Caenorhabditis elegans: one gene and its partner. The protein of the gene in region 1 purifies or fractionates together with the protein of each later gene. This does not show direct contact. Each region holds a gene or a part of one and is shown in the gene's direction. Other genes may lie near its edges.

What was found.
Region 2: the proteins of drn-1 (region 1) and epac-1 purify together in Caenorhabditis elegans (affinity purification with western blotting, with the first as the bait; one study listed by BioGRID). This does not show direct contact.

What each region holds. Positions count from the first base shown.
Region 1 is NC_003280.10:5,269,634-5,273,585, reverse strand, and holds drn-1 (GTP-binding protein drn-1), read left to right. Parts: upstream 1-1,740; 5' UTR 1,741-1,774; coding exon 1,775-1,831; intron 1,832-2,085; coding exon 2,086-2,369; intron 2,370-2,422; coding exon 2,423-2,537; intron 2,538-2,896; coding exon 2,897-3,100; 3' UTR 3,101-3,450; downstream 3,451-3,952. UniProt on the Caenorhabditis elegans protein: Displays low GTPase activity and exists predominantly in the GTP-bound form. Together with epac-1, may regulate acetylcholine release at the neuromuscular junctions probably downstream of G-protein gsa-1 and adenylate cyclase acy-1.
Region 2 is NC_003281.10:10,187,321-10,195,231, forward strand, and holds the start of epac-1 (Rap guanine nucleotide exchange factor 1), read left to right. Parts: upstream 1-1,891; 5' UTR 1,892-1,897; coding exon 1,898-2,021; intron 2,022-2,066; coding exon 2,067-2,143; intron 2,144-2,402; coding exon 2,403-2,549; intron 2,550-2,818; coding exon 2,819-3,214; intron 3,215-3,719; coding exon 3,720-3,944; intron 3,945-4,001; coding exon 4,002-4,093; intron 4,094-4,139; coding exon 4,140-4,496; intron 4,497-4,549; coding exon 4,550-4,767; intron 4,768-5,259; coding exon 5,260-5,363; intron 5,364-5,419; coding exon 5,420-6,306; intron 6,307-6,355; coding exon 6,356-6,446; intron 6,447-7,099; coding exon 7,100-7,303; intron 7,304-7,614; coding exon 7,615-7,722; intron 7,723-7,769; coding exon 7,770-7,856; 3' UTR 7,857-7,911. UniProt on the Caenorhabditis elegans protein: Guanine nucleotide-releasing protein. Together with GTPase drn-1, may regulate acetylcholine release at the neuromuscular junctions probably downstream of G-protein gsa-1 and adenylate cyclase acy-1.

The sequences.
Region 1 (3,952 bases):
TAATTGGCCGAATAATTGCTCTCCATCCGATACACCCCTTGTGCCGTGCTCGAATACAAACGATTACAAAATTTTTTCCCAATCCCTGACATTTTCTTGAAAAAATTGTAGAAAAATCTGAAGCTTATGGCTCATGTGCTTCCACAGAAAAATGTCAACGTTTATTGCCATGTAACTATAGAAATTCGACATAAACCAAGTTTAGAAGGGGTTTAGCAAAAAAGAAAAGGGGGGACCTTGCCCAAAAAAAAAACAAAATAACATTACGAGAGCAAAGAAAATTTTATGGGCCGAAACGCTTTTTGTGTGTGTTTTCATTCTTTTTTCAAATCTTCTCCATTCTTTTGGATTTCTGTCAGGTTTCTTTTTTGGTAGATGGAAGAAGGAAAAGGAAGCATTCTTACCCCCAGTGATTTATAGAGAAATCGGATATTATTCAATGCTAGTACTCATATGTACGAATTCTATATTAGATTGAAAATATAAGAATGGGGGAGAAAAAGAGTAAAAGGTCAAAGAAAGGCTAGAAGTGAACATATCTAATTCCGTACATTACAGTTGGAACAGTTTTTCCTAAAAAAAAAACTAACGCCCGGATGCCCGTTTTCCTGATTCTGGGCGATCGTCTATTTTTTAGTGTTACAGAGGACTTTCAATAACTTGTTTGTCCAAATTTGTTTGTCAAAATTTTTTTCTGATATAATTCTCCGGTCATCCACTCCTCAATATTTCGTTTTGGGAAATTCCTCAAAAATTTTTCAAATTTACATAATTGCGGTAAGCTTGCAATGCTTGATCGTGAAACTTAACTTTCGGCAAATTTACTAATATTCACAGTTTTAAATTCACAACTTAGAGGGGGAGTACGGTCAGTGGGAAAATTATTTAAAATACGCCTATATGGTCATAATGACCGAATACCATGATGGAAAAATTCAGAAAATTTGTTCTAAATTTTATTTGATTTTTTGAAAACTGATAAAATCCGCTTTTTCCTGATTTTCACTTGAGCCACCAATATATTTCCGCCAATAAAGTTTCCGTTTTAATCTTTTAAAACAATTTCCCACTGGTTGCACTCTACCGTACCGTACCGTACTCTTAATTGTAAAATTCTTAATTTGAATAGTTCACAAAATCTCAAATTCTTGTTCAGCCCTTGCTCCTTTATCTGTGAAAATTGTTGCTACGTGCATCTGAGAAACCGGTCACAAGTTCGTAATGTTCCACCACCTCTTTTGAATATTTTCTCATCGGACCTCGTGGGTCCGTGTAACTCAAAACTCAAACTTTCTCCGTCTCTTTCTCTTGCCCCGCCCGAAAAAAACCTTTTTCTGCCCATCACTTTGTCCACTCCCTCTAGCAAAGTAAACTCAAAATAGGAGAAGCACTTTCCTTCCATACTTTTCTTTCCTTTTTTTCTTCTACTCGTCATCATGTTCTTTCTACTTTTCCTACATTCACTTTTGCCCCTGCTCCAATGAAAGGAAAAAAAAAGAAAAAAGAGAAGATAATTAAAAGTTGGTGTGGCAAAGAAGTGAGCAGAAGAAGAAAGTGGGCGGGGCGCGGCTCCTCGAGTCCATAGGAAATTGGACTCACTTCTCGTTCTTATTCAGTCCTTTTTTGTCTTTTTTGCTATATTGTTCTTTTTTCTTTTACTTTTTTTGGTGTTTGTATCTCTTTTTCACACTTGTCATCTTCACAACTTTTTGTTTCTCTTTGAAATGTCGTATTTTTCAGACTAGACGATATCGACCCAAAGGAGCCCAGTGATCTGCTGGATACTGATTTCAGCATTGAGGCCACAGCTGCAACCACGACGGCTGGCTCGGTTAGTTTTTGAGTTCGATTATTTATTGTAGAAAACGGTTTTATGAATAATTATTCGGCATATAAGGGCAACAAGCTTCGTATTAAAAAATGCTCTAGTAGGTTGCCAAATGCTCACATTTTTTCATAACTCCAAAAAATGTGCAAAATATCAGCTCTCAAAGTTATGTGAAATTCTATTTCAACAACTTTAAAACATTTAAAACAATGTAACGATTCAAATAGTTCATACTCTCATCGCTACCAAATTTCCAGGGAAGCAAAGTAGCCGAGGCGTCGACCTCGGACTACCGTGTCGCCGTATTCGGCGCGGGTGGAGTTGGAAAATCATCGATAACGCAGCGATTTGTAAAAGGAACATTCAATGAGAATTATGTTCCAACTATCGAAGATACCTATCGACAAGTGATCAGTTGCAATCAGAAGAATGTGTGCACTCTTCAAATCACAGATACAACCGGAAGTCATCAGTTTCCTGCGATGCAAAGACTGTCGATCAGCAAGGGAAATGCATTTATTCTCATTTATAGCGTTACGAAGTAAGTTCTAATGCGTTTTAAATAGATTATAATAAACTCGTTTCTTGTTTCAGTAAGCAGTCATTTGCTGAGCTAGTACCGATTATTGAAATGATGAAGGAAGTAAAGGGGAATGCAATTGCTGAAACGCCAATAATGCTCGTTGGAAACAAAAAAGATGAAGAATCAGTGAGTTTTATAAATGTTTAGCAGAAAACTTTTGAATGTAACATCATACTTATTCTTTAAAACACACATCAAGAAATATTCAAAACCTATAATTTAATAGTCTTTGTCAGTTTACTTCAAAAGAGTATATTAAAATTTGAAAATGGAATTTGAGGAAAGTTTTGGTGTCTTAAAAGTTACCGGAAACGGTACCTAAAACTCGCTCGTGAAGCTTTGGGAAAAATAATTTTCTGAATCTAGATCAAACTGAGAGCTGAGACATCTCAGGTAGCTCATGGCGGATAAAATATCACATTTTAAAAATAAATAACAATAAAAAATTAGAAAAAATCTGAAAAACAAAATTTGCAAAATTTCAGAAACGAGAAGTCTCTTCAAACTCTGGACAGAAAGTTGCAACAAATATGGAATGTGGCTTCATCGAGACATCCGCGAAAAACAACGAAAACATCACAGAACTATTTCAGCAGCTTCTTGCACTGGAAAAGAAACGACAATTGGCACTGACAATGGATGATCCAGATGGGAAAAATGGGAAGAAGAAGGGATGCCATATTATGTAGCCTGTATTTATTGTATTTATTTATTTGACTTTTTCAAAACTCTTTGATTTTTTTGAGTTTTGAAGCATGGGAATTAGTTTGAAAAGCAATAATGTTTCCAACAGAAAACGACTTAAACAATTCTTTCACTTCCAGATTTCACAGCTCTTGTACTTTGTATTCATATGTATTATTGTAGGGCTTCTATTGATTTCTCCATAACCCCGGTTTGCCTGAAATCTGTACAAAAAGTGCATTATATCTAGTGCTACGATTTCTCTTATTTTCTTATTAGATGGGTGGTTTTTTTTGTAATTTAATATTGGTCTGTTCCCGATACTGTTTATTTTGGGAATAAATGGGAATATTTTTTGAAATGTTGAACAATTCCAGATGGCTCCTTTCAGATTCTCTTTAGTCTCTCCAAAATATTGATTTTATGAGCCTTAGTTTAACAAAAAAAACCTTTTTGTGCAATCTCTAGGATCCGTCAAAAAAATTTGACGAAACATCATTAGAGATTGTTCCAAAAAATATTATGGTTCGTAATGTGTAGAAGCAAAATAATTGGAATAATCGAAATTATCAGAATGATGATATATAGTGGATTTGAAAAAAATTGAGTTTTTCGAGCACCACAATACCCAAACCTGCTCTAAAAACAACCAAAAAGGCTAGCTTCCAATAGAAATGATGTATTGATCCATTGACACTGGAAAAGTTAAAAATGAAATCCAATAACCACCACGGACCACGTTAAAAATCATAATTCAAATGAAATTTAACGGAGAGGCTTAATAAATAAAGCTACACGGAAAATAATTAAACAATATTTGTATTTGAACTTGATTTCATCTTGATAAGAACTGGTAT
Region 2 (7,911 bases), on another chromosome or scaffold:
GTATTTCAATATTGGCAATTTGCCGATTTGCCGATTTGCCGGAAAAATCGTTTGCCGCTCACCCCTGATTTGTGCCCCGGTTAGACCGTCAGCAGTTCGGCGCTTGCCACCGACTTTCGACTGTTCCGGGATCCCAACAGCTTTTTTTCCAAGAAAGTTGTTTTGTCAACTTTTTGACGTAGAAGTTTAGTTATTTTCAGTCTTGTTTTAATAGATACGATTCACAGGACAAATTGGCAGTTTCGTATGATAGGTTTACCCAGGCACCCCTGATTCAAATGCTTCAAAATCTGTTGAAAACCTTTATCGGTATAAACTTCAAGTATAGAGGATCAGATCTGACAAGAAATTTATGCATTGAAAAGTTTGAAGTGATGACAACATGCTGTACCCCTTTGACAGTTTTAATGTTTTAGTACCCTGGAAAATCATATCGTACAACTGTTCCGAAAACGTTGAGATCTTCATTCTTCCTATTCCCCATGTCAACAATCTTCCCGTCACAGTAAATCTGAATTATATCGCTGTATTGTCAAGTGCATTAACTTTTTGTCTCCCAATTTCCCCTCCGGCGCTCTCGCGGAGCCAACCGCCATTGCTACAGAGACAACATCCATTTGTTTGTGTGGCCACAGCTCTTTTCTTTTTTCTTCTTCTTCTTTTTTTCTGCACGGCTTCTGCTTTCGGCCGTGTCCGTTGCTTGAAAGCCAGCAGGAGAAGAAGAAGCAGAAGAGTGTGTATAGAAGTGGAGGAAGACCGTGTTGTCTATGTCTTTATGTTTCGGTCTCTCTTTCTCTTTCTTCTACACCCTTCACACCAAAAGTGGCTGCTAGCAAAAGATGAAGATATAGAGAGAAAGATGGAAAGAGAGAGAGAGAGAGAGCTCAGCAGATCGCTCATTCATTTTTTGTTTCGCATTACTTCCAATTTGTTTGTTTTCATTCTTTTTGGTAGTTGTAGTAGTTTACTTGTTTATAGATATTTTTGTAATTTTTTACTGAAAATTGAGCATTTTCCATCTTCATGTTAATTCTTTATTGTACAATTAAAAATTTGGAAAAAATAAACTTTCTGGAAAATAGTTTTCTGTGGACTATAGCCTTTTTTTCCAGTCAAAAGTGCAAATCAAACAGTCTTTGCCAATATTAACTCTGAAAATTTACGAAGAAAATGTTCTACCCAATTTTTAATTATTCTAATTCTGTATGCAACAAAGCTCTACATCTTTCAAGTCCAATTTTTCTGAAAACTATTTGAGTGGACTCCGGAAAAATGGACTCTGGATGGAGCCCAAATATTTTCAAAAAATTTATCTATTTTCCACTATTTTTTCACTCTACATAATTATACCAAATCTTTGAAGATGCACGAAGATGCACAAGATATATCTACAATTTCAAAAAGCGGATTTTTTTGAAAGCTTGACAATTCACCTAAAAAAGTATTCTAGTGGACCCCAAAAACTGGAAAAACTGGAATACTAAAAAAATTTTCAAACATGTCCATTTACCTGAAAACTATCTGCGTAGACTCCGGGAAACTTTCGACTGAAATTTAAAAAAAAATCTAATTTGACAAAAGGTTAAAAACTTTATTGAGTAGATTAACTAAAATTTTTCCAATCTCTCGATTTTTTAAATCAAATTCGTGAATTTCCAAACTAAAAGCTTTCAAGTAATTATCATCAGTTCCATTAATGAACAAATGCCAGACCACCGAAGCAAAAAAAAAAAATCTAAAAAGACATTTCTGTTGAAAAAATGCTTGCACTTCTCCCCTTCCACCCGTCCCATTTATTCTCCCATTTTCCATATTTTATTCGTTGTTTCCTTGTTTTGTGTCTATTTTTATCCTCCTTGCAACTATTTTTAACTTCATTCATATATATATTTTTCAGATGGAGCGGATAGTATCCCGCGTTCGTCGATTATCTCCGTTGCACACATTTTCAGATGCTCTTCTCATTTCGTTGCTTTCTGAATCAGATTTTCAGCCGGATAGTATTCAACAAGGTGTTGTATGTGAGTTGAATCTCGGAAATTTTTGGAATTTAAATTGAACTTCAGTATTCGAGAAAGATGAGCCAACAGAATACTGGTATCTACTACTTAGCGGAGAAGTTCAATTGTATAGTAAAACATATGTAAGTATTTAGTACTTTTTAAATATGTCGCTGCAAAAAAAAGTGATTTGGAAGATAGTGGAAGTTAGTTTTCAATAAAATTATTTTTTGGAAAAAAAGTTCCAGGTTGAAAGAACATACAAAAAGCTTTCAGAATGTTCATCTACAATTTCATTTCTTGAACTTAACTGACGTATTCCAATTATAATTTTCCAATAAATTTTGACATAGTTTTTACGACAAAATTACATACAACTGCAAATGTTTAAAATTTTTGTAGACTGGAGATTTCAATCACTTGAAAACATTACGATGTGGAGCACTTTTTGGTGATCTTTCAACGTTGACACATTCCTGTTCGTGCTTGGTAACCCGGCCTGCACAATTGATTCGGATAGCTCAAAATCATTTTTTATCTGTATATAATGTAAGTTTTTCTGCTTATAAAAGCCGTTTTTTTTAAAATATGGATACATCTTATCTCTCCTTACAATCGATGACACGAGTTGTTTTTTTTTCAAAAATTGCACGAAATGTGCTCGAAGACTCTAATCTTATAATCTTACGTGTGGGGTGGGATGAAGATAAATTTTAAGTTAGAAAAAAAAAAGAATTTCTTCAAGAATACGGCTAGTTTTTTGTTAATGGAATTTTGAGAAAAAACACAGAATTACGAAAACAGTTGTAAATTTTCAGAAACATGGCGATCACTTACAACCGTTCATAATAATAATGCACGATATTTTGACGGATGAAACCCCATCAGACCCAATTCACCCTCATAGTTCTGGACTTTTCAATGGACAAAGAAGTATGGATCTCATTTCAACGGAAATTAATCCTTCGGAAATTGTTTCGGTATCTACAAATGGGATGTTGTCAAAAATGATCCTTCCATCTATTCCAAATCAGAGAGAAAAGCCGATGAACAGAGTAGTAGTGAATCAACAGAAAAATGAAGAGAGGAATTTTATCGAATTTCATAATCCAACGGGAATAGAGAAACAGATTCGGGATTCTGGAGGGATTTTGCATAGGAAAATGTTAACGGATAATCATCAAGTTATTAGGGATATTACAACAGAGCATACGGTTGGTTTATCTTCAAAAACAACAGAAAACTATTTTTAAAACAACTAATAAAATTCAGGTTTACTAGAAATTGAAATTTTTGAAAAATATTCGTTTTTTTTAATTAAAAAACGACAGCGAAAATTTTTGAAAATTTTCGACGACACCCTTGTTCCATCATAAAAAATATGAAAATTTTCAAAACATTTCAAATTTTGTGTGAATTTTGTTTCCAAACCCCTCAAAATGGAGACGGTATTTTCAATTGCCCTACGTCACATGATAAATATTTTTGGATTTAAAAAAAATTAAAGGAAGTTTTTTTCAGTATATTTAAACAAAACCCCGAAAATTCTACTTCCTCTTTATTTTTTGGAGCCTATTTTTTAATGCAGAAATTATGTATTTGAGAAATTGATCACCATTTCGTTCTTTAATTTAATTTAATTTAGTTTATTTACGCTCTCGAGGAGACGTTTTTCAAATATTCTTCAAATTCAAATATTCAGTTCAGTAATACTTTCAGAGGGTTCAAAATTGCATGATCGGTGCTGAAATGATTGACTGGCTTCTAACGCTTTTTGTATCAACATCCACCACATGTTCAAGTCTTTCAAGAATACAAATGAGCGCAATTTGGCAAGTCCTTCTCAATAATGGACTCATTTCTCATATTGATGGTGAACACCAATTCTTGGACAAAACAAATTCGTATTATAGATGGGTTCAACAGTTTAGAAGTAGGAATAAGGTAGGATTTAAGTAGGATTTTTGAATTGAAATTTTGAAATTTTGATTTAAAATACAGGTAGCACCAAGTATTGAAGAAGTTTCTAAAAGTATTACACTCCTTTCATCAGTGGCACCGGAAACTTTATTTCTGATGATTGTTTCAAAACCGTGAGTTTTCCCTGAATGCCATAAAGTCTTAATATTCAAATATCAGAGGTTTTGAACGAAGTCCTGAAGAATTAGAAGTGGTCTATGAAGAATTAACATTTATCAAAGCTCTATCCCATCTCAGCACAATGGTCAAACGGCAACTATCTAATTTTGTGAAAGTTGAACAATATGTTCATGCTGGAAGCGTTGTATTTCGTCAAGGAGAAATTGGAGTATACTGGTATATTGTACTAAAAGGAGCTGTCGAAGTGAATGTGAATGGAAAAATTGTTTGTCTTCTGCGAGAAGGTGATGATTTTGGAAAACTTGCACTGGTGAATGACTTGCCGAGGGCTGCAACAATAGTTACTTATGAAGATGATTCAATGTTTTTGGTTGTGGACAAACATCATTTTAATCAGTAAGTTTTAGATTTGTGAATAAGAAAAATTTTTAAATACATTTTTTTTGAAGAATTTTACATCAAGTGGAAGCAAATACAGTTCGTTTAAAAGACTATGGTGAAGATGTTCTTGTTCTTGAGAAAGTTGACATTCCACGTGGGGCGGCACTTGAAAACTCGAATTCTTGTAACTTTAACTGCGGATATTCAGTAATGGCTGGAAAGGCGGAGAAGATTTTGGAATATGTTTTGGAGACGAGAATTGATGCTCTTGGTGATGATATATCTGGTAAGTTGATGTTTTTAGATCGTTGATTTTATAATATATGTAGCTTTTGTTCGGTTGATATAATACTTGAAAAAATAAAAATAAAACAAATTTTCTTCTATTCAATTTAATTGAAGTGGGTTATCTCTAAAAACACATAGATTCAAGATACCGTATTTCCTCAAATAGTATTGCGCCCCATAGATCAACTTTGAAAGCTTATATTTCAGTTGTCGTTACTCCTATACAAAACTTGTCAACTGACAAAATATTGTTAAGTACTTTTTTTTCAGCTTTGTAATTAACTATGTAACTATATTTTCCAAATTAACCGAGATATAGCTTATCAAAATAATGTACTCTGACTAATAGAGGAAATTCGGTATTTGCAAGTAAAGTTTGCTATAGACAGTGGATTTTTCATATTTTTTTTTAGTATTTCGAACAGTCCGAGTATTTTTAAAAGAAATTCTCCACACGGCCGTACTCCCAAAGCATTTTTTTATATTTCAGAACTTGACGTTTTTGTCGAAGACTTCATCTTAACCCATGACGCTTTCATGCCAGACAACACCGTCTGCAATTTTCTCAAATCGTATTATTTTCGGACACCATATGTATGTTTTATTTACTTTCAAACTGATTAAACCCATTTCGAAAAAAAAAATTTCAGAGAGCAACTCGAGACTCAATAACCGATTCTTGCACGGAAGAAGTTCGATGTAAGCGGAGGGTCGTACAATTTGTATATGTATGGTGTAGCCTTTTGCGAGTCAATTTTTTTCTGAATCCTGTCACAAACTCTTTTGTTGAAGAACTGTTTTGTCATGTTATTGACGATAGAAAACGATTGGGAGGAATGGAGGATATATTGACAAGAATTGGATCGATTAGATCTACAAGAGAAAATATGCAATTAGTATTGGCTCGACATCCGGCAATTGTTCTAGATTGTGGAGTATTATCTGCACATACTCCGTGTCCAGTTCTACCATCAGATGTTTGTAATCAAATTATATACTTGGCAGATACAACATGCTTTGTTCTTCCGATTCGAGTTGATAAAACTGCTGAAGAGATTTGCGAACTTTCGAGACGAAGAATGAGCTTCTCTGCGGAACCTTTAAATTTGGTAGAAGTAAAATCAAATGGAGAGAAGTTAATATTCAGCCCAAATGATAGAGCTATTCCAACAGTTTTGAGTTTAAACTCGAAACTATATGTAGTAAATCGAGAAGAAATTCCGTTACTTGTTCCAATGGAAGATCAGAACGGACCAACTCCATCTTCACATTCCTCAATTCTTCATCTAATTGATTCTCAAGAGCTTGCGCATCAACTTTTTCTTTTTCACCTGCAATTGCTAAGATCTACGGATTCTAATGAGTTACTGTATCAAGTAATTGGAAGAGAATCGTTTCCATTAAGTATGCCATTCAATCTTGATCTATTAGTTCGAAGATTCAATGAAGTACAACATTGGTCGACTACAGAAATTCTTCTGGCTACTGAAGAGAATCGAATGGAGATTTTGAAAAAGTTTATCTCAATTGCAACAATGTGAGTATTCTTTCTGTTTCATATAGTTGTGTAAATTAAAAAATTTCAGTGCTCGAGAATATCGCGATCTTCTAACAGTTTTTGCAATAACATTAGGACTCAGTCATACATCAATTAGTAGATTGACTCTCACTTGGAGTGTAAGTTTTTTTTAGAAAATATTACTTTAAAGTACGAAAAACTGCCTAAAATTTAAAGATGCCACAAAATAAAACCAAAAAAAAAAATCGAAAATCCGAATCAAAAACGCTTTATTTTGATTGTGTAAAAATGCGGCAATTGCCATTCGGCAATTTTTTTGCGGGAAATTTTCAAATTACTGGTTTGCCAATTTGTCGTAAGTTTTTAATTTGCCGGTTTGCCGACTTGCCGGAAAATTTCATTTTCGGCAAATAACAGATTTGCCGTTTGCCAGTTATCAGATTTTCCGGAAATGTTTAGAGGGATTTTTTAAAAGACGGAAACACTTAAAACTGTACCTTTTTGAAATGTTTTTTTGTTGTTTAATTTAGATGTTTTGATAAAATTTGCTTACTTTTTAAACTAGATGTAGGAACATTTATAGGATGCGTACAATTTGCCTATTAAAGTTGAAATTCTGAAATTTGCAAAAAAAAATGTGCAAAACCTCAGTTTGCCGATTTGCCGAAAATTTTCATTCCGGCAATTTGCCGATTTGCCAATTTAATCTTAGCCCAAATTTCGCATTAAAAAGTCCCACTCTATATACCTTTAAAAAAATCGATACTTCTACAAAAGTTAAGGTCCAAAAATTAAAGTTCTAATTTTTCAGAAGCTACCACCTGCCTCTTTGAAAACATTCTCAGAACTAGAAAATCTGTTGGATCCAACAAGAAATCATCGAATGTATCGACTTCTTGTCTCCAAAATGTCATCACCGTACATTCCATTTGTTCCACTAATTTTGAAGGATTTAATGTTTATTCATCAGGGAAACAAGTCATTTTATAATGGTCTTGTGAACTTTGAAAAAATGGTGAGATTTTTTAAGTTTTCAAATACAAAAGAAAAAACAAAAAAAAAAATCGAGAACACCTTCCTTTTCGAACTTATTTCAAAATGAGAACTGCAAAACCAATCAGCGATTCTCTCTGCTCATTTCTGCACCAATCAGACAAAGTGGGCTGAGTTCGAAAATGCTGATTGGGGAGAAAGTGGGTGTGGCTTTTTATTTTGGAGGAAGTTCAAAAAGATTTTTTTTAAATGTGTCAATCTTTCGAGATTTTAAAAGTTCTTTTAAAAATCTGCAAAATCCGAACTCCATATTTAAGCATTAGAATTTTTCAGCACATGTTTGCAAAAATCTTTCGAAGTTTTCGGCAGTGTAAATCTCAAATGGATAACGGAGCAGAACATGAATTCATTGAGCCACAGAGTTTAATTCGAAACTTGAGAGTATGTTGGAAATTACTTGAATAAATTTTAGTTGCAAATTATTTCAGGTAATCGATAATCAAAAGAAACTAATGCAGCTGTCATATGAAATTGAACCGAAATCAGCACCGAAAAGAAATGTGATTTTTCATTAGCCCTTCTAGATATTTAATTTATTATTTATTTTTCGATTACCATTAATTTTAATCA